2 linked regions of the Kluyveromyces lactis genome follow. The protein of the gene in region 1 purifies or fractionates together with the protein of each later gene. This does not show direct contact. Links are inferred from orthologs where the notes say so. Each region holds a gene or a part of one and is shown in the gene's direction. Other genes may lie near its edges.

Region 1 (11,477 bases):
GTTTAACAAGAAGTAAATATCCACACAATATAATTCTAAAGGTATTGTTGTCATAGCATTTCTAAAATCCGTTAGAAATACTACCCAACACCAGGCCTTTAAACAATAATTGGGTGTATGAACTCTTTCAGCAGATCAAACTGCTGATGCATCCTTCTAATGTATAGAAGATGAGAGTATAACTCGATGTGAGAGACGAACATGCGCACACGAAACTCGATGAGAGGAAAATCAAACCCAAGTGTGGCACTGGTCCTTACCACCCCAGAAATTGCATCACACAAATACCGATCGTGATTCCGCACCCATCATATATTCTATAATAGAACCAAAGGCCTATTTAAAGACCAAACATCTGTTTTACTCCTCCAGAACTTGATCTGTTTAAACATCAAATTGCAGATTCTCTTTCTATTGAAGAAAGTTGTTTTTTGCTCAAAAGAGAAAAGTCGCGTCAAGCTGCATTGGACTTAAAGATAGAGAATATAGGATAATAACGTAGGCAGGGGGACCAGCATTACCATTGTGGGTGATAATATTCCATTTGCTCACTTCGACTGACTGATGGAAGATATTCCGTATTATTAAGAGGTTCAGCGTTACATTGTATACTTAAGAAAGAGAGGAATTTTTGAAAAAAAGAATGGTTCCTAGCGGGATCGAACCGCTGATCCCCGCGTTATTAGCACGGTGCCTTAACCAACTGGGCCAAGGAACCAACTTCTTGTTGTTGCCCAGCAAAAAGTAACGCTAAATGCCACAATCCCTTCTGTCAGTATGCACTTGTTTTCCTCGAGGGTGTTAAACATATTGCCCCATTTCCCTTCAATACAAGTATAGCTTCGGATGCAAATCAAGAGATTAGTAGAAGACGCACGAAATTTAAGCAGAAACTGATGAAAAATATGTGGCGTGTTCTTAACTTTCTTTTTATCCTGTACCAAACGGTCTACATATATATACCGTCTATAGAAGCACACTTCTAGAACAAACAACTGATGAAAAATACTTATGATGCGACACGTTGCTGTAGTTCATTGGCTGGTAAGTTTTATCTGCAAAGCTTATCAAGTTCCTCAATTTGTGCCTTTCTTGATATAAAACCAATTCTCTATTTCCCTTCAGGATTGACATCCTCCGTAATATGTTCAGAATCTGCTACTCCTACCGTCTCCATATTCTGTTCTTCAGACTCAAGCCCATTATAGAACAGTTTCCATATCTGTGATACGTTTTCAAATTCCTTCCCGACTGCTATACTATTTTCAAGGGTAATGTTTAACCCATTTAATTGATTCAAAATGGCATCCATGCTTTCGTTGATCTCTTGTAATATCAGACTTCTTTGCTCGATGAAATATTTGTCGCCTGTCGATAGCTGTTGAACCTCTTCTGTCATTGCTGCTTGCTATATGTTGGGCCCTCAGTGTATGCAAATCGGGACTCCTGTTATTTTCCGATGACCCTCGATATACAATGCATATCAGTTTACCTTTTTCGTGTATTTCCATGATCTAAATGTTTTAATAAAACTGTCCGCTTCTCATAAAGATACTAAGTCGTTGATGACAGAAACCTGGTGTATCGCTGAGAACCAACTGGCTCCAAAGCTTAGGTAATTGGAACATTTAGCAGCTCAATTAGACATTAAAATAGGCGAATATCGCGATCTGCGGTATTTGAATCTTCACTGCCAATTTACCTTCAAATATGAAATCAAGATGTTACCGGCAAGGATTATCATTGGCACATATACAGACGTTTGAAAGACATAGCAAATGTAAGAAACCACTAATTTTAAGCGAAATACTGGTAACCTGGATTAGCAAACGATCTTCATCTCACGCCAAGCTATATAATACGACTGACTGCCCTTTCACATCATATTCAGCTTACCCTACCGATGTTCTCTCGGATATAAAATGGAAAAAGTTATTGAATGCTTACTCTTTCACCATATTACATAGTTCTTGAAAGTTTCTTTAGCGTAAAAGGGCAAGTAAAAATCAACCAGTATATTTGGCTGGCCAAGGCATCTTCAACTCTTGGCTAGTCTCTCTAAGCTGGGAGAATAAATCTTATCAGTCTTGAACAATTTAAGTTCTGTTATCCGATCTTCAAAAATTATATCGATATAACCCTATCGTTGTTCAAACAAATACAAACCACAACAATCGACTCGTGTAGCCCGCAACTTTCCACCAGGTAACAATGCTAAAACCTATGACTTTTAGCCTTAGCTGCAAAGCAAAAACCGAATTATACTTACACGGTAGTTACGTACAAGCTTATATATAAATTATGCTGAAGCTGTATTGCACTAACAAGAATATGTCGTTTGGATGTAGTTGTAATTGAGAGTAAAAAAATTTGGTTCTTATTCAAATGATTGGCCTTAGTCGCTGACTTCGTCATCAGCGTATCTGGGCTCAATGTCAAAGATCAATTCATATTTCCGCCATTTTACGCGCAAAGGACTTTCCGCATTGCAGGCCTCGGCGTCATCTTCTTTATCGTATTCATCTAGCCAGTCCCAGTTGGAATTGAATTTGTCTATATTATCTTCCAAAAACTGCGTTAGCTGCTCTCCATGTTGGACCATAGCGGCGTCGTTAGTTAAAAAATTCCAAATATGAACTAGATAGAACTTCAAGGATTTTATACCTCGAAGGAATCCCTGATCCTCTCTGTTTGGGAAATGAGGTGCAATCTTAAAACGATCTAGTGACTTTTCTATATCACGATCAGTGACACACCTAGCGAAATCTATAATGTTTACCTTCACCCGAGATCGTTTGTTCTGAGGGTTGTCGCCATCGTAAAATAAGAGCAAAGATGATCCGTACAATCTGTATGATTTCAGCTTCGCGATTTCACTGTATAAAGTATCTAATTGTTGAATCAAGATAGGAATTTGCTTAACGATACTTCTTTTCGACTCGCCATCGTATAAGAATCTTGCTAACACTCTAGAAAATTGCCAACCGACTCTTACCTTTCTACCGTAATACTTATCCCTTGTAATGTAATAATTATGCTTCTTATCCCAAATCTTTAGCCCACATAATCTCACTCCAAGCTTCCTCGAAGTAGTCTTTTTACATTTTTCACGCTGTGACAGCTGTTTGGATCTCTTGGCATCAACTCCATACTGCCTGGTGCCCATTTTCAAATCAAGAACTGATGGGCACTTAAGCTTTCGAGTTAAGTCTTCGAGTAAGATGAATTTAGAGACAATAGTATGCGAAGTCTCTTCCACGGAAACAGATTCATGGTTGAAGGCACCTTGTTGTTGTTCGGGAGATTTGACATCTGATTCATGAACATCATCGTCCAACTTAAACATAATATCGTCATCTTCCAAGTTGCTAGGATTCACATCTAATACGTTATTTGTCGATACGGCTGCTCGCTTCATAGAATTACGCCGTAAATATTGTTCGTTGCCCAGGCCTCTTGATTTCTTATTAGAAGAAGAGGAAGAAGATCTCGAGTGTTTACATTCCTTTAGAGACGAGGAAGATCCTGTTCTAGTACGTGAAGAACGAGGACTATAACATACACCCGAGGGTTTCCGTCTCATGAAAGCTTCTTTGACCACCAATTCTTGTAATTTTGTGTTGACACTAGTTGATCCAGATCCTTGATTGGAATTACCCTTAAAAACCTCTCCTCCGTCAAAAGAACGAGACGACAAAAATGAATCTATTGGAGCACTAGAAGGCGAGTTTGAAGTCGACCGGGATGAAGAATATTGTTGATACAGTGAATTGGGTATAATATGCTTGTTGTCATCTAGCACTACTTCCGGTAGTGTAGAAATCCCTTCTTTGATGTCTTCCATTCGTGACAAGAATGTAGGTGATGCTAATCTATTACATGAGCTTCTAGATTGGTCATTAAGTGTTCTCTCATTCCTCAGATCATTACTGGAAATATGCGAGTTGTCATTAGAGGTATTAGTATTATTATTCGCTTTGAACTTGGTTGTATTGTTAACTATTTCTTCTAAGAAATCTTCCTTCGTGTGGAAATGCTGTCTGACGTTCAATACACCGATGTATCTTGGCATGAATTGAAGAAGTTCTTGATGCTCCTTTTCTATGGTTTCGTACCAGTTATTTTCTGTATTAACCAAAGCTTTGCAGACGGCTCTTTCACTGAATTTAAAGATAGCAGTGTGCCCTCCAACTTTGTTCGTGAAAGGTTTCAATTCCACCGCCAAGGGGAAATCACCGTGTTCTTCAACATCGTCGTCATCATCATCGTCAGCGATAGCACTTTCATCAGGAATTGTCTTAGAATTGAAACTTGGTATCTTATTTTCAATTCTCAGCGGTTCATCGTGCCGTTGTTGTTCTAAAGCTGTATTAGTTAACTTCCTTGGATATTCTTCATCCTTGTGATTTCTCGCAGCACCGATATGAATAGGGGGCACCACTACATCCGGGCCAAAGAGATTGACACTTGTCTTATCTTTCTCATCAATTATAGAGATATCTTTATAACTGGATAAAATGTGACGATCTTCATCTGTTAAGTAGATAGCGGACGCGGAAGTTTTTGGTTCTAATGCAACACCTTCTGTCGCATCCACATCTTCCAGCTCATGTAAATCTGTCAAATCTGTCGACTTAGTATTTTTCAAAACAGGTCGTTGGTCTACGCTGACCTTCATAAACGATTTAGGACCATGCGCGATCTCTGTCTCATTTGAGTTTGAATTAGATTTGGAGCCTAAGCCACCACCAGAATACTTCCTTAGGCTTTGATCAGGAATCGAGACATCTGAGTCTTTATCATCGAACACTCTCAAGTAATTAGCTGCTTTTCTACCATGAATTACAGAACTCTTCCTGTTCCTACTAGACTGCTGCTGTTGCAGCTGCTGGTTCTGACCACTAATTTGGGGTGAAGGATGCCGTTGTTTGTTACAACTATCGTCCATACTTAAATCCTGCAAGTGAGCCGCAACCAGAGTGGTCTGTTGTGCGGCATTTTCATTAGAGCCATGCCGTTGTACTTGCATCTGTTGCTGTTGCTGTTGCTGCTGCTGCAGGCCATTAACCTCTTGCTCCATGTGTTTATAAAACAGCCTGTAACAAAGGATTGGAAAACCAAAATAATAACAAAAAAAAGAGTCCTGTTACAAGAGATAAGAGAAGCGCAGATGAGAATGAAATCACAGAATAATATGAATACAGTACTGGCTTTCTTTGGCTCACCTGGCAAACAGCGCGAACCGATAATTGGGCCAGATTGAGGATATATCTATTAAGATGAATTGAAAGATTGTTTTTCTTTATTGATATATTAGATCAAGAAGCTTTAAAAAAAAAAATTATAACGAAAGACTGAATACTGATTAAATTGAACATGGAATAGATATCGAGATAGAAATTGAACAGATACTAAATGTCTGATGTTCACTATTTCTAAATGATGTTTCAACTGCAGGTGGCCCTAATTTCTGACATGCGAATGTCAAGATATGACATAACGTCCAGCAGCACCTGCACGCTACACTCTTCCTTTTTCAGTAACGGTAGTTTAAATTCATTTTATGTAGACAGAATATAGAGATGAGAGAGAATAAATAAAAGGTTTGCGTCAAGGTGAAAAGAGGGGAGGAGCAGTCTTTGCATGTGGGGGATCTGAACCCATGTGTGTAATGGTTTTAAATTGAAGATTGTGCCTTATTATAACCATCAAAATTTCCTTTTTTTTCCCCCTGCCTGGCATGCCTTTTTGAGTTGTAATAATAAGGGAAACGGAAGCATGTGGTGAGCATCCTTGCATGCACCATCAAATTATGTTTTTTTCAAACATCCAAATTAATATGCTCGCGTGGCGTAATGGCAACGCGTCTGACTTCTAATCAGAAGATTGTGGGTTCGACCCCCACCGTGAGTGCTTTCTTTGGATTTTACCACATCCGCGATAGTTTAATGGTTAGAATTCGCGCTTGTCGCGTGCGAGATCGGGGTTCAATTCCCCGTCGCGGAGAATTTTTATTTTTTTGACCCTAGCTGTCGTTACATCACGTGACTTTCCGCCAATGATACCATGGAATACATAACAAGTCCGGGTAAGACCGCTATATTCTCACAGAAATCAAAAATTTATTGCTGGACTCGTATATGATGATCCATATAATGGCGTTCCATCTTCAAAGATACACAGAGCCCCTTCAATTAGAGTATATATCTGGCCATATAAGCTGACTCTCTCACTCCATAACCGCAGCATTCTACTCAAGACTAGCTACAAATAACCTATACTATCCCACCCTATTCTCTCCTGGCTTCTGCCCCCCGTCTTTCTCCCTTTATACCTCGAATTTCACGACCCGGTGTGAAATTCCCAATCTTCGAAATAATTTTCAAACATATCGATTTCGAGGTTTTTTAACTCTTTTACTATTACAAGTGTGTATTTTGAATAATTTGATTAACGTTCCACACGGTGAATACTTGAATTGTATTTGCATTGAGTTGACCAGTCTACCTTTTCAACTGTTCTCTTTGTTCAACCCCGCAAGCCCAACGTAAGAAATATACATTCGAATAACAATGTTTGTGAGAAACACTGCATCCGTTGTACGTGGTACTTCCAGAAACTATGCAACCTTGAGAGAAATCGAAACCAGATTGAAGTCTATCAAGAACATCGAAAAGATCACCAAGACCATGAAGATCGTTGCTTCTACCAGATTGTCCAAGGCTGAAAGAGCTAAGAACAGTGCTAAGGAGTATGCCTTGGCCGATGCTGCTTTCTACAAGAACGCAGAAACTGTTCCATTGGAAGATGCTGAAAAGAAAGATTTGATCATTGCCATCACTTCTGATAAAGGTTTGTGTGGTTCTATTCACTCTCAATTGGCCAAGGCTGTTAGACTTCAATTGAAGCAAACTCCAAACGCTGATGTTGTTGCCATCGGTGACAAGGTTAAGGGTCAATTGCTAAGAACCAACTCTGACAACCTCAAGTTCGCTTTCAATGGTGTTGGTAAGGAAGCTCCAACTTTTGAAGAAACTTCTTTGATTGCTAACAAGATCTTGGAAGGTGGTGCTTCCAATTACAAGAAGGTTTCGATCTTCTGGAACGACCCTATCTCTTCTTTGTCCTTCGAACCTTCTAACAAGCCAGTCTTCAACGCTGCTGCCATTGAACAATCTCCTTCTTTCTCCAAGTTCGAAATCGATGCTGACAACAACGTTTCTCAAGATTTGTTCGAATTCACTTTATCCAACGAAATCTTGGCTGCCATGGCTGAAGGTTATGCTGCTGAAGTCTCTGCTAGAAGAAACGCTATGGATAACGCTTCCAAGAACGCCGGTGACATGATTAACAGTTACTCCATCTTATACAACAGAACCAGACAAGCCGTTATCACCAACGAGTTGGTTGATATTATTACTGGTGCTTCTTCTTTGGATTAAACGTAATATGAAGAAAAGAATACTTTTAATTTATCACTAAATTAGCTGGAAAGAGTTAAACAGGAACCTTCATACTGAAGAGGAAAGAGCATCCTCATCCCCTCTACAATCGCAGTTCCTTATCACCCTTTCTGCCTCTTTTTTTTTCTAAACTTACACCTATTTTCCACCTCTATCAATGAAAATGATATATTATTTGGTATTATAATGTTAAACTATCATTGGGTTTCCTTAAATTATCATTCTAAGACATCATTTCTATATTTTATGATTATGAATTGAAGAACTTAACAACAATTAAAAAAACTACTTTGAGATTTATTTCACTAAATATCTCTCTCAGAGGGCTATGAAGACGTTTACGCCTTTACATTTCCAAATGGCGATAAAGAATTATTATAAGAAACTAATATTGGCCTCTTTCAAGGTTCTACTCATATCGCACATATTGTTTTGAGCCACTTCCAATGAAGGCAATTGTTCGATCGAGTGTCAAGTTTACATATTCGGACTTTCGCATTTCATTCAACAACACTCTCGTCTGGCCTCAGATTTCTACTGTATACTGCCATTATCACTACGTATGTACCATATTTGTATGACTCTTTTAAAACAGATATATTCAATGCGAATCCCCCTTCGCCTCTCCTATGTATTATGAGGTTGCATTGGCGCATGTCTTCTGTCATTCATAGTCGATTCAGGTCTGTTTCATATCTGTATCACTGTTAAAAAACACTGAAACACTTGAATACTGGAACAAGATTATCAGATATGATGCAGTATTATTTCAGTTCATTAAACGTATATAACCAGATGCATTCATATTGCAAACTTTCAATGAGCTTTTAGTTTCAATTTACTTTCTAGTACAGTTAGGTGTAACTTAGCATCCTTCAACAAAACACTGATAAATACAAAATCATTATGTTTCTACCATTCACCTTATTCTATAAGCTAGGAAAACGTATTCCTAGGGTGCTGGTGTTAATTACTTCTTTTATTTCAGTATTTTTATTGGTATTTTTATTAGTGGGTTGTTACAACGTCGATCAGAGTTCAACGTATTTGGTGAAATATCAATTCAACGATAAATCTCCCCTATATCCAGTCATTTCAAATCAGTTCAGTTCACAGGAATATACTGATGGATTAGAAAACGTTCAAATATTTTCAGGGTATATGGGGATATGTATCAATAACATCCCATCGAATTATGACAGAAACTCCTCGAGCAAATCGTCTAAGGTTTGTTTCAACAGGAAGAAGGTAGATGACATGGACATATTTGACGATTTGACGATTAAGATTTTCAGTTTCAAGAATTCCAACTCCACAGAAGAATCAGAGTCCAGTAATTTAAATATATTGGAGTTAGCTCACCAAAATTCTGACGAACTGGTGCATCCTTATTTATTGATGGTTGTTACCATTTTCACAATTTTGTTGTTTGGAATCACAGTATATGCAATCATACCTAAATTGCCATTTAAAAATTACGTGCAGTTTATTATCATGGGTTTATCTGCATTGATCACCTTGTTATGGGCTATTGGTGCCATATGGACTCACGTTGCCATAAATTGCAATGTATCCCTAATTCCAAGAGCATCGATGAATATAATGACAGCAGAAAAAGGAAGTAAATCACAGGCTCTGTCATGGACTGCATTTACATTCATGCTCATAGACTGCTTGATAATGTGGATGGTATACTTTAGAGATAGAAAGAAGCTCGACGAGAAGCTGGATGACGTTAAGTCAACCAAAAACCCGTTCTCGAATAAATACGCATCAGATACAACTTTAAGCAGTGTATGATAGAAGCCAACGCAGCCATTGCACTTCCTAATATTATATGCACTTTGCGAATGATTATATCGTATTTTAAAGATGTGTTTCTGGTCCCAACGTTATTATAAGTTTGCAGTTTCTTTATATCTTTATTTAAATGTATGTTGAATGAATTTCCAAGTTTCTATAAATTCTCATAAGTTCGAATTCATATATCTACAAAACTAACTGGATAAAAAAGGGAAGCAATTTAACAGTATCCAAACCAATCTTAGAAGCAATTGTTACCGTTTGAGTAAAGGTTTTATAGACTGAACTGTTCAACCGTCGTTAGCACGCTTTTACTAGCGAAGACAATGTCAGATCACAACAATTTCGCCAGTACTCAGCTGCTTTTCTTAATATTCCGAACAATAGTACGGTTTATTTTAATCCCATGCAAACTGGTTACGTCTCTACTACGGAAGCTGTTCCCAGCAGGGATAATGAATCGTTTGGATCCAAACTACCGATGGAGAGATGATTATCACATTGTCACATATTTTATTACGAGCGTTTTCAAGTATGTTTGGTCAGTGTACAGCAATAGATTCCAATATTGGTACGTATTTGAAGCTCAGGTAAGGAAGGCTCCTCAAGGTTTGGCAATTAGCTACCCCAAGCCTCTATCTGTAAAAGGCGATTTCGAGTTGCAACAATTTACTTACCTGGAAACTTACAATATCGTTTTAAGGTTGTCGCATTATTTATTTAATGTACATCAGGTGAAACCTGGAGATTTTGTGGCATTGAATTTTACAAACAAACCACTGTTTATATTCCTATGGTTTGCGTTATGGAACCTTGGTGCCACTCCTGCATTCTTAAATTATAATATTTTAGGTCAACCTTTAATTCATTGCATTCAAACCTCGAATATTAGCCAAGTGTTCATTGATCCACAAGCTCGAGAACCTATGAAAAAAACAGAAGAAGACTTGAGAAAAGTATTGCCCCATACCCAGTTGCATTACATCAATGAAGACGAGCTATTCAACAATGTTTTACTCAATGAAAAGTACCCTACTCTAAGAGTGGACGACGGTATTCGGTCCTCTCAATCGGCAAAAGATTTTGAAGCTGCAATGCTAATATACACTTCAGGTACCACTGGCCTTCCTAAACCAGCAATTATGTCTTGGAGAAAATCAACAATCGGTTGTTCATTGTTTGGTAGGATAATGCGTGTCACTCAAGGCAAGACGGTCTTTACAGCAATGCCATTGTATCATTCAACTGCAGCATTGTTAGGAGTCTGTGCAATCTTTGCCCATGGTGGTTGTGTTGCCATTTCAAACAAGTTCTCGACATCTACATTCTGGAAACAAGTTTGTATGACCGAGTCCACTCATATCCAGTATGTCGGGGAGGTTTGCCGTTACTTATTGAATTCTCCGGTGAGTTCCTACGAGAAACAGCACCGCGTAGAGATTGCATACGGGAATGGTTTGAAAACGGATATTTGGAAAGAGTTTAAAGAAAGGTTCAATATTAAGATAATTGGAGAATTTTATGCCTCAACTGAATCTCCATTTGCGACCACTTCTCTACAACGTGGTGATTTTGGTATCGGTGCCTGTAGAAATTATGGTCCTTTCGTCAGTATGGTCTTGTCAATTCAGCAGTGTTTGGTGAAAGTTAACCCCGATGATGAAACCATTATTTATAGAAATGATAGAGGATTTGCTGAAACACCGGAAGTTGGTCAACCAGGAGAGTTGTTAATGAGGATTTTTGTTCCAAAAAAGCCTGAAACTTCTTTTCAAGGTTATATGGGGAACAAAAAAGACACTGAATCAAAGGTCATTAGAGATGTTTTCCGCAAAGGGGACGCTTGGTACAGGTCTGGTGATTTGTTAAAGGCTGATGCCAATGGATTATGGTATTTCATGGATAGATTGGGCGATACCTTCAGGTGGAAATCTGAGAACGTTTCCGCTACCGAAGTTGAAAATCAAATAATGTCCTTCACAAAAACTATCATATTGGAAGCTGTTGTTGTCGGTGTGAAGCTTCCGAGCAACGAAGGAAGAGCTGGCTTTGCAATTTTGAGATTACAAGACCCAAATATTTCTATTGAAGGCAAACTCGATTTGCTCAACAATCTATTGCCGCATTTGAAAGACAACCTACCCAAATACGCCTTACCAATATTCGTAGAATTTGCAGATAAAATCGAACTAACGCATACTCACAAGGTAG
Region 2 (11,509 bases), on another chromosome or scaffold:
AGAAGAACGTTTTCCAACAAGTTCAGATGGTAAAGCAGTTCGTCATAGTCATAAAATTGGGATCTTCATCACTAGTTGATGAAGAGACCAAAGAACCAAAACTTTCTATCATGTCATTGATTGTGGAGACTGTGGTAAAGTTACGCAGAAGAGGACACAAAGTTATCATTGTATCTAGTGGAGGTATCGCCGTCGGATTGAAAACGATGAATATGAAGGGAAGGCCAAAGAAACTATCCAAGGTGCAAGCAATCGCAGCTGTGGGCCAAGGCAGATTAATTGGGAGGTGGGATTCCTTGTTCTCTGAATTTGATCAGAGAATTGCTCAAATCCTAATTACTCGAAATGACATTGTTGATTGGACTCAGTATAAGAATGCACAGAATACTATTAGTGAATTACTTTCCATGGGAGTAGTGCCAATCGTTAATGAGAATGACACTTTATCTGTGAGCGAAATCAAATTTGGTGATAATGATACATTATCAGCTATCACAGCAGCGTTGACTGGTGCTGATTATCTATTTTTATTGACAGATGTTGACTGTTTATACACTGATAATCCAAGAGCAAATCCCGATGCAAAACCTATCTTGGTTGTTCCAGATATATCACAAGGATTGCCAGGTGTGAACACAGACGGTGGATCTGGATCAGATGTTGGAACTGGTGGTATGAAGACTAAGCTTATTGCGGCAGAATTAGCAACCAATGCTGGTGTCCATACCATCATTATGAAGAGCGACACTCCAGAAAACATTTCCAAAATTGTTCTCTACATGCAGGAAAGGGACGATGGCGTGAATGAACTTACACAAGATTTGGCTGACCTACAACTCACTGAGATGCAAAGTTTAGTTAATAATCATGTTCCTCTTCATACTAGGTTTATTGCCAATAGTAATCATCATCACTTGAAGAACAGACAATTCTGGATGCTTCATGGACTCGTCAGTCAAGGCGCTGTAATTATAGACATTGGTGCATACGAAGCGTTAACGAGGAAAAACAAAGCTGGTTTGTTACCTGCAGGCGTTATTGAAGTCCAAGGGAGCTTCCATGAACATGAATGTATAGATATAAAATTGGGAGTCAGGGATTCAGATGGAAATTTGGATAAATCCGTTGCACTGAAAACAGTAGGTAGGGCTCGTTGCAACTATACAAGCACAGAGTTATCAAAAATTAAAGGTCTGCAAAGTGATCAGATTGAAGATATTCTAGGCTATGCTGATAGTGAATACGTAGCTCATAGGGAAAATTTAGCATTCCCTCCTCATTAACCTAAAGTGAATGAAAATATACTTTACATGTTACGTTTAACTCTCATACACGTAGCCCTTTAATAAAAGCATATATAGATAATCGAACATCTTGCATCAATTTATATATATATACGGCCATATTGAGATTTTATAAAAATATTATTAATCTGCGCTCAGGCTTCACAAAGAAACACTCTAATTTTGGAGGATTATTAAATATATCAGGTAATGGAACCTTGAGTTTCTTCTCGGGATAAATACCTAGATTAGTATTCTTTATGATGAGTTTATTACTTTTAGCATCATATTTGATATTGTAATCAAGACTAGAGTTAAGCTCCGAGGTCACTTCTATCTTTAAGAGAAACTCTGAGGTGTCTTTGGGTTTGCCCATACTAAGTTCATATGATATACTTTTTTTTTGTATTTCTTCAACCTTGGGTTTCTTGGTTTCATGCAGTGAAAGATCCTCGATTTCCTCTATTAAAGGTTTTCTACGGGAAGATTGGTCGATAGGAATTAATGGCGGCAGTTCACCCGTCGAAGGTTCGTCTTCTGCAAGAAAGTCTCGCCTCTTTTCGATAATACTAACAGGTTCTTTTTGTTCCCTATTTACCAAATCATTGATGGTTTCTTCATAATTCTCTGTTAGGTCTTCTCGCAGTATTTCTAGTTCAGGTATAGTATCACCTTTCTTCTTCAGCTTAGGGAAACTTATATTATCCCTTGATATTTCGAGCTCCGCTCGCAATTCACAGGATTCTAAGCACCATTCAACTACGATTTCTCTTAGTTGTAAATCATGCTGGATCCATGAAACGCATTTGGTGTTTATACAACAATCGCTCACGTAGCAGACGTTGCCCTTTTTGTCAACATCCTCCCTTATTGAGGAGGTTACGATTGGTATTTCCCATTGGTTGTTGATTATTAGGGGATATACTATGGCGGGGTTGAAATCGATTTCAGGTAAGGGTATCTGGTCATTATGGCAAATGTTGATGAATATCTTTGCATTGCTTGATAGCGATGTAGTACCAGGGTTTATTACCTTAGATTTTACGACAAAACATGGTTCTGGGCTTATTCTTATAACGTTGTTGGAGTTGTTCGAGCTGCTATCATTCAATGGTCGAAGAAGAAATGACATTGCACCTAATTGACGGTATGTACTTTCTTATTCTTTTGTTTTTTTTGTTCCTATCGCAGTTATCTGCTAAGCGATAATATAGAATTTCACAATCAAATTCTTATTAGCGATTATCAAAACTAGTGCTTTTTCAACGTAGATAAGGATCAATTATATGTACACCAAGACGAATAAAAGGTTCGTGTCATCGGAACGTGCTCGGTGGCCGTTCAATCCATACTGCCTGGCTCAATACAACATTTTGGGTATTAATACCTTTAATTCTGGAGATTAGTTTTTTTCATTCCACTGTTAATGGACATTCAAACTGGTTTTAAGATAAAGAAGGGCATTACAGGTTAGTTGAAACAACTAGACATGAATCAAGAGAGTGAGTATCTCTGTGACTCTATGGATAGACCGCGATACGATACAATCAATGACAATACTAGATATGAAAGTGATGGAGAATCTGCATCTTCTGGCGATGCCATAGACAATCGATATCGACTAATGAGTCCAGATGCAGATCGCGATGACTTTATTGACGAAGACTTCATAGAGGATCTTACTGCCCCAACAAGCTCTAGGAATGAAGTCTCCTATATCTTAAGCAACTCCGCTCTAATTACATTAACTTTTCTAATGGAATACTCTTTGGCTATTATTTCTTTATTTGTCATCGGTCATGTCTGTAAATCAAGTGATGCCTTAGCTTCCGCATCTTTGGCGGTAATGACTTACAATATTACTGGTTTAGCATTTGTGGAGGGTATGGCCACTTCTTTGGATACCTTTTGCTCACAAGCGTATGGTGCCAAGAAATATGCAAAAGTTGGTTTATATTCATTCCGTTGTGCAGCGATGATAATGACAGGTATTTTCCCTGTGATTATATCATGGTGGTTCAGTGCTTCATGGTTAGGTTATGTGATTGCTGAACAGGATATCCTCCCAGAGATACAACTTTTCTTGAGAATAATATCGTTTGGGTTGCCAGGGCTGATTTTTTTCGAAACTGGTAAGAGATTCCTTCAATCACAGGGCCATTTCCAAGCAGGAACATACTCCTTGTTGATTACAGTTCCAGTTAATATTATTCTAGTGTATTCATTTACTCGTTACATTGGATATGCTGGTGCTCCTCTAGGTATCGCCATATCGCACTGGTTTATGGCCTTAATGCTACTGGTTTATTGCAAATTTTGGAGAAAGGAAACTCTGATTTGTTGGTATCCCATGTTCTCTTCAATGTTCCACTTTAAAAGATTATTTTGCAGCTGGAAACCTATGTGGAATTTGGCATTTCCTGGTTTACTCATGATTGAAGCAGAGTACCTTTCTTTCGAAGTATTGACTATTATGTCTACATATCTCGGTGTCAAGGCTATAGCAGCACAATCAGTCGTATCGAACATAGGATCTTTGATATATCAAATCCCATTCGCAATGGGTTGCGTAGTTTCCACAAGGGTTGCTAATTATGTTGGGACAGAATCGGTCAACAACGCGAAGATCTGTATTAATACGTCGTACGTGATAGCAGCGTTTGTAGGGATTGCGAATTGTTGTTTGATTTTAACAGGTGACAAGAATTTAGCGTATTTGTTCACTAAAGACAAAGAGGTCGTTGAGTTATATCGTCATGTCGCTCCAATTTTGGCAGTTAACCAATTATATGATGCATTCACAACTTTTAGCGCTGCGATATTACGTGCACAAGGACGGCAGCAAGTTGGCAGCCTGTTAAATATCATAGCATACTATTTTATCGCATTGCCTTTAAGTGGATGGCTAACTTTTGGTAAATTTCAGTTGGGATTAAAAGGGCTTTGGTACGGATGCGGTACCGGGATCTTATTACTGGCGTTTGCTTTGAGCTATTGTGTTTTCAATTCCAATTGGGAAAACATAGTGGAAGAATGCCATAGAAGAGAAAAAGAAGAAAATGAGGTTGACTTAGAGAGTATGGCAAGTAACATGAGCAATATTATCGATGTTTGATTTGTCGATGTCAGTTTGTTGGACATTTTGAATGCCGTGTACATATTTTAATTATAATAATAAACAATAGATGAAAAATAAATACAAGTTGAAGGTCGAACTCCAAATTATCCGAAAATTTGAATATCGTCATTTTTGATCTCTTCGTCTTCCTCGTTGTGCATCGTGTCAGCTTCCAATTCATCGTCTTCATTGAAGTTGATCTTTTGACCTAATAAACCAGCAAAGAATTCATCAATTTGCTCATCCGACCATTTATACCCAGTATTAACTGATGCTTCATAATTGGCAATTGGTTCTTGAATAGAGTAATTTAGTTTACGACCCTTTGAAGCCTTGGTGTCGATGTTTTTCTTGAGCTTGTTTTCAGAGCGAGAAGTGATGGCCAAAGTAACACCATTGGATTGTTGAGAGTTAGATATTTTTTTCTCAACAAGATCATTCAACAAAACTCTGTAAAAATCTTCGTCATCATAGATATATGGGTTTTGGGTAAAATCTAATGCATTGTTATCCTTCCTTCTTGGATCGTAATTCTTTGGAATATCCAAATTATTTTCTTCTTCGATGTCTCCTTCTACGTTTTCCTCCAGTTGCAATTCTTTTAGTAGACCTTTTTGTAAATCTTCATCAAACAACAAAGGTTTAGTATTGCTTCTATTGAGTTTTGTCCTTTTAAGTAATCTTGGCATATCAGCAAGTTGGTTATCCACTTGTACATCAGCTGACTGGTTGATCGCTTTAAACTTGGAGGCTTGCAGAAGAGATTTTCCTGATGATGCAGAAACTTTTGCTGACCATTTGTTAAGTACGGCAGAACGGTATGATTTTAAATCAGAATCCAATGTTACAGTTTCATGTACTAGTTCCTTAAAACTTCTCTTTTTGCTGTTATCGAAGTCAGAAGGGTTCTCAGATTGGTTTATGTGATCACCGATTTGGAATTTATGCCTTACTGTAACACACTGGGTCAAAACTTTCTCTAAAACTTTGAAAGTACTAGTTAGCAATTTGGAGTTATTTTCATCTAGAAGTTCATCCCAAGATTGTTGAGAAAGTGGTAACTGGTTTGAAGCGGATAATGCTTTTTGCAACTTAATTCTAGAGTCTAGAATTTTATCGAAGAATTTATTCTGTTGTAAGATGGCATAACCTTTGGAAGCATCTCTCTGAGCGGAATGTGCTAAATTATTAATCACTTGTTTAGTTTGCGTCTGTACTATCTTGGCCAATTTCTCTTTCTTCATCGCAGTCTCCTCATCTTCCTCTCTATCTTTCTCTATTTCTGACTCGGAAGTGGCTTCAGATTCGGATACATCTTCTGAATCGCTTCTAAAGGATACTGCATCACTCTCTTCAGATCCGGATTCAGCTTCAGACTCACTTTCTCCTTGTTCAGGAGCGTCCATTTCTTCGTCATTGAACAGTTCTGCTCTAGACCCTTTGCTCCCGACGTATTTCTTATCCTTTACGGCCAATCCTTGATCGACCACATTTCTAAGTTTTGACTTTCCTACTGCCACATAATGCTGTTTCTTCAACTCTTCTTCGCTCTCATCGCCAGAACTAACATCTGAATCGGACCCACCATGTTGAAATACACCTTCATCATTCTCAATGTCGAAATCTTCAACTTGTGGTTTATTCGCAATGTCTGCGATTTGTTCGGCCAAAGACTTTTTACCCATTTAATCTGCGTGTATTTTACGTGTACTTCACCGTCCTCACTTACAACTCACTATTGAGTACAGCTGATTTATCCATATAAGAGTCTCTCATCTCATCTCATCTCGTCTCATCTCTCAAACATCAACTTTCTTGAATTTTTCAACTACAAAAAAGAAACTCCAGATTACCTTTTCGGATCTTCAAAAAGAAGAGGAAAATATATAGATCACGTGCTATTATTAAATCACGTGATTGTAAGATAGCGATTCTTAGTCTCAAACTCTCGATGCACCAAATATCCAATACAAATTACTTTTAAGAAGCCTCATAGCGTCTATTAAGGTCAAATATATCTATTAAAAGTGAAAGCATAGTGTTTAATTTCCACGTGACTCGCAACCAATGAAAACACGTCATCGTTTCCTACGACTACTGAGGAACTTAGATCGTGTTTTTTTTTTTTTTTTTTGGACCTCTTTGGCCGGAACAAGAACACAAGAGCAGAAACGAAACAGAGACAAAGAAGAACACATAGGAGGGAGGATCCGATCAAAAACAGAGAAAGTTTTGAAAAAATATAGGTAAAGGAAGGAAAAAAAATTGAAAATTTATTGAACTTTCAATATTTCCACACCTTTAAGAAATAAATTTGTAATTTACAGGAAAAGAAGCTTTCGTTCTACGTTAGCTTATTTGTATTTTTTAAGTGTATTTGCTATTTTGTTAGTGATTCTGCATTGATCAGATTAAGACAAGTCTCTCTTTTCCGATTAGGTGTGTGTTTTGTTATTGCCATTGTACCAAACCTTATCTTAAGCTTTAAACTTCATTTAATCTATTGAGCAAGTTTTCTTCCAATTGTTTGAATAACCATAAAATCATTGAATTATTGAATCAAAGAGACCACTATATACAGAGTCATGTTTTCCAGAGTATTTGTTCGTTCTATGGCAGCTTCTGCCAAGGCTGGTGTTAAGCCTCCAGTGCAATTGTTCGGTTTGGATGGTACCTATGCCACTGCATTGTTCACTGCTGCCTCAAAGACCACTTCCGTTGAAGCTGCTGCTTCCTCATTGAATGCTTTGAAGGAAACTGTTGCCAAGGACACCAAGTTGACCAGCATTTTGGAAAACCCAGCCTTGTCTGCTGAAGATAGAAACATTGTTGTTGACACTTTGTCCAAGAAAATCAATTTGGATCAATCCGTTCAAAACTTGTTGAAGGTTTTGGCTGAAAACAACAGATTATCCTTGTTAGAACATGTCACTTCCCAATTCTCCAAGTTGACTGATGCTTACCATGGTCTTGTGCAAGCGACTGTTACCACTGCTCAACCTTTGGACTCTAAGTTGTTCAAGAGAGTGGAAAAGGCCTTGGCTGCTTCCTCTTTGGTTGGTAAGGGTAAGTCTTTGAAATTGGAGAACGTTGTCAAGCCTGAAATCCAAGGTGGTTTAATCGTTGAAGTTTCCGACAGAACCGTCGATTTGTCAATTGCTTCCAGAATCAACAAGTTGAACCAAGTTCTAAGAGAAGCTATTTAAACGATATCCCAAAACCTATAAATCAATTATATGAACGAGGAAAATATATCATGAATTTCATGTATGGGGTATCTTCAATTTTATTTCCCTTCTCAAGGGAGAAATATGTGTTCTATAAACTACACACAGTGAATAGAACGTGATTAATAAACGATTCACATCTGAACTATGATTTTATATTTCAACGATACTTCTTTTTTTTTTCTCTCACGATTTCATGATGACTTGACGTCCACTTTTTACCGATACAAGTAACTTTAAAACATTATTAAACTATTAACATTCTTCGCGCTTCGTGCCAAAAAAATTTTATTACGATCGTATATGTATAGAGCAAATACACAACGAAAAGATTCAAAAGTCGATTCTTTAATCCTTAGTCGTCTCATTGGATTGCTTTGTTTACTTAAACCAACCATTTTCGAGTCAGTTTAAATACAAACTCATAAATAGATGTTGAAATAAAGTATAACTTTCAGAACACTATTCAATTTAGTATAATGAATCGATTAAGGATAGAGTGGATGCAGAAAAAGATTGAGTTCTTTAAACCTCATTACAAAAATTAACTAACTTCATTACAAAATCTGAAAGAAAATGTGTAAAACGAATAAGGGGTGGGTTCTAACGCCAGTAGTAAAGTAAATAGTAATACTGATAATCACAATTATAAGGATGCTAATAAGCATATGTGATCACAAGAAAATGACGGTGATTGATCCTTTTTCTAGGAGAAAAGAGATAACAATGAAACGTTAAAAAAAAACAATTGGAAGTGAAACATTGATGTAGGATATATGCAGAAGATAAGAAAACTATGACATCTTCTCTTTCATAGCTTTTAACTTGGCCTGGTGTTCGAGTTTTCTTTTGTTCAAAAACTCCTTGTACTTGTCAATGGTGACACGTCTTTGTTTTTTCTCATACTCTTCAAATCCATGATACTTGGTGTCACAAAACTTATCCCATATGGTAAAGAATGGTTGAGAAAAATTGGACTTGATACCAAAAGACTGATGGTGAATGTCGTGATACACTGCATTATTTGAAAACAACCACTGGAATGGGTCCAGGGGCAAAGCATATCCGCAATGATCGTCCACTGTTTTCAAAGTAGCAAAAGTGTATAGAACAACTTGTTCTGTATGATTTAATTGTGTCACGATTGCAGCAATGCCTGTACCCAAAGTGTCAAGGAGGAAACCTTCCACTGGGGAATTGTACAATGCACCGTACGCATAAGGAACATATAACCTATGATGACGTGAGTGGAATTTTTTGTAAAGTGTCTTATTCATATGCATCACCCTATGCAGCCAATACTGCCACGAATCTACGATACAAAACCCAATAAATATCCTTATCATAGACCATCCATAGCAATACATAAACTTGATGAAAACAGATGGTACGAAAAAGGGTAAAGATTGCCTCCATTTCCACATCTCATACTTCTCAAACCCTGAAGTCGGCACAGGATCCAAGTAGAGCATACCAAGTCCAGTAAATGTTTGAATGAAATGTTGTAATATCACCTCTTTTAAAACCTCTAATCTTGAGGCCTTATTCCGCTGTTGTACTTCCTCGCTTGGATGAATCCTGTACTGTTCGAAAACCTCATTGGTATCAATGTAATGGAAAAACATCGAATAAAGCCAATAAGCAACAACAGGTAGTGCTAAGGCAAGTTTCCCATCAGAAATCCAAGGCAAAATATCCTGTTTCTTCGTTATCACAGAAGCAGGTGGAGCTTTAGAATTCATAAACGACACATCCATAGCATCTTTCACCTGCAAATACAAGTGCTGCACTGCACTTTCAACAATATTTGCCATAGTTATAAAACCGATACAGCACACGCAAAATATTGTATCTCCTTATCCTCGAACTGTATCCGACAGAAAACAGCTCCTCTCAAGTATAAATGGACTTATAAGTTTTGTATGACACTGCAAATATCAGTTTGTGTATCTGATTTCGTATCTTGCTTCGTATTTTATATAGTTGCTGTCTCTCTTCAGTATGATCAAAAAAAAAGAAACAGTAACTCCAGAATAACTTTTTACCTAATCTCAAGCCTTACCCTTTCAATATTATTGCAGCCTTCTTCGCTTGGTATGCCAACATTAGCCTATACGCTTCGTATAAATACAACCACTGATCTTATAACGCAATACATTTATAACGCAATTCTGTATTCTCGACACCATGTTATGCTAGAAAAACTAAGAAAAACCCGAAGCCTCTAAGGGAAAACAGGATTGTCGTTAAAGAAACACCAGAGAAAACCAGAGAAACGGTGTTAAGGTTTCTCAAATTTGGTCATGTGACATTTTTTTTGCTTTTTCTTTGGTGTCCGGGTTCCTGCTTCTTCTTCCGTTAGGCGTTAATGCATGCATGAGACACATATGGTATGAAGCGGTAGAAAAGTAGAGGAAGTAATATGATGATTACAGAACCTTTGATATTTAGGTTACGTGATGATGGAAACAAGGGAGAAAACTGCTAGTAATCACCTTGTCAAATCAGTTAAACGCCGGTAGTGAGCTGAGGGTTTGTTTATATTATTTACAGAGTCGGATTGTCTGCGGGTTATATATGTACATGTAGTGATTTCTTAAAGACGTGACGAGTGAAGCAGTGAAAGATCTGAGCTCGGCTCAGCTTTTGCAACTGGAAATAGTTTGTATTTGCTTGTTTTCTTTTGTAACTCATAGAGAGATGTTTTGAGCAGCTGACTCCTGTTGTCTCACTCTTGCGAACTCTTCTTTGGCTCTTTCGCCTAGTTCTTTCAAAATTGCACTTTCCTCTCTGGAAACGTTCCCCAAACGTTCTAGTGTTGTGTGATTCAACTCTGGCAATACTGGGTTCCAGTATTTCTCTTTATCCCCCATTCTCCATTCGTCTTCCCAATGGACCTTAATGGACGATTGGACGTCTTTCAACTTTAGGAGACATTCTCGCAAATCGGCAACCGCTTCTTGAGAGTATGTTGGTCTGTATTGCGATGAGTACCATGTGTGGCCGGACTCATTCTTCTTTCTCATGTCTTTTGCCTGTTTACTGAATGTCACATCACGGAGATATCTTAATCTGCACAAATTCTGGTATACTTTTACACTCTTGTCGTAGTCTGGTAGATCAACAACAGCCATACATTTCCAAATATCACGTCTGGTGCTTGGTTTCTTATTCTCCCAGTTGGGTCTTTGGAAATTGGTATCAATTTGCTTCCAAGAAAAAGTCGGGAATTGAGAGTACAGCACTTGTCCACTCTCTAGGTTTCTGAATAAAAAGACTTGTGGTGCATACCCTGCTTTCTGTAGCCAGTTGGCTGGACGGAACTTGGTAATAGCTAAATGCTTGCTCATCTCTTCCTAGTGCCCTATGGTGTCTTCAAGCCTTATTTGTTAACAACAAAAGCCTTGATCCTCAGAGTTCTCTTCTATCTCCAGTGCTATTGATGGACTTCTGAAGAGTTATTTAAATACAATGTGTGCACAAATGTGGTGATCTCTTCTGTAATCAAGCTAAACTAACTATCAGCTTTCTCTTTTTCAAAATTTTTCAGCTTTTTCAGATGCCATAAACAACTTCGTAGAAACACTGAAAATTAAAGAGAATGAACCTAATATATACATTACCCGGATCTTGTGATGATATTGAATTCTCCGCTACCTGCTCTATCTTATCTTGGATCTCATCTCCAGAGAAAGGTTTTCCTATCAGCAGACACGCACAGTAGAGTTATCACCTTCATCCGTCAAGTGTCCGCATATTCCACCATCTAGAACTTGATGTTTGAATTGAATTATGGAGCCGTTCCTACGTCCCGGACAGATTGCTTAGCTAGAGTTCTCGATTGTGGAGATGATAACCGTGGATCGATAAGTGCCATTTGT

Evidence for each region.
Region 2: the proteins of ATP3 (region 1) and ATP5 purify together in Saccharomyces cerevisiae (affinity purification with mass spectrometry; 3 studies listed by BioGRID). This does not show direct contact. The link is inferred for Kluyveromyces lactis from reciprocal best matches to the Saccharomyces cerevisiae genes ATP3 and ATP5.

What each region holds. Positions count from the first base shown.
Region 1 is NC_006038.1:600,297-611,773, reverse strand, and holds ATP3 (F1F0 ATP synthase subunit gamma), read left to right. Parts: upstream 1-6,572; coding exon 6,573-7,442; downstream 7,443-11,477. Other genes in the region: DAD1 (Dad1p), read right to left, coding at 1,112-1,399; inositol polyphosphate kinase KCS1, read right to left, coding at 2,396-5,080; FIG1 (Fig1p), read left to right, coding at 8,370-9,263; long-chain fatty acid transporter FAT1, read left to right, coding at 9,593-11,477. UniProt on the Saccharomyces cerevisiae protein: Mitochondrial membrane ATP synthase (F(1)F(0) ATP synthase or Complex V) produces ATP from ADP in the presence of a proton gradient across the membrane which is generated by electron transport complexes of the respiratory chain.
Region 2 is NC_006039.1:883,618-895,126, forward strand, and holds ATP5 (F1F0 ATP synthase subunit 5), read left to right. Parts: upstream 1-6,986; coding exon 6,987-7,607; downstream 7,608-11,509. Other genes in the region: PRO1 (glutamate 5-kinase), read left to right, coding at 27-1,283; PIH1 (Pih1p), read right to left, coding at 1,414-2,415; ERC1 (Erc1p), read left to right, coding at 2,773-4,398; rRNA-processing protein BFR2, read right to left, coding at 4,506-6,086; SUR2 (sphingosine hydroxylase), read right to left, coding at 8,423-9,442; MHR1 (mitochondrial 54S ribosomal protein mL67), read right to left, coding at 10,319-10,978; GTPase-activating protein NEL1, read left to right, coding at 11,405-11,509. UniProt on the Saccharomyces cerevisiae protein: Mitochondrial membrane ATP synthase (F(1)F(0) ATP synthase or Complex V) produces ATP from ADP in the presence of a proton gradient across the membrane which is generated by electron transport complexes of the respiratory chain.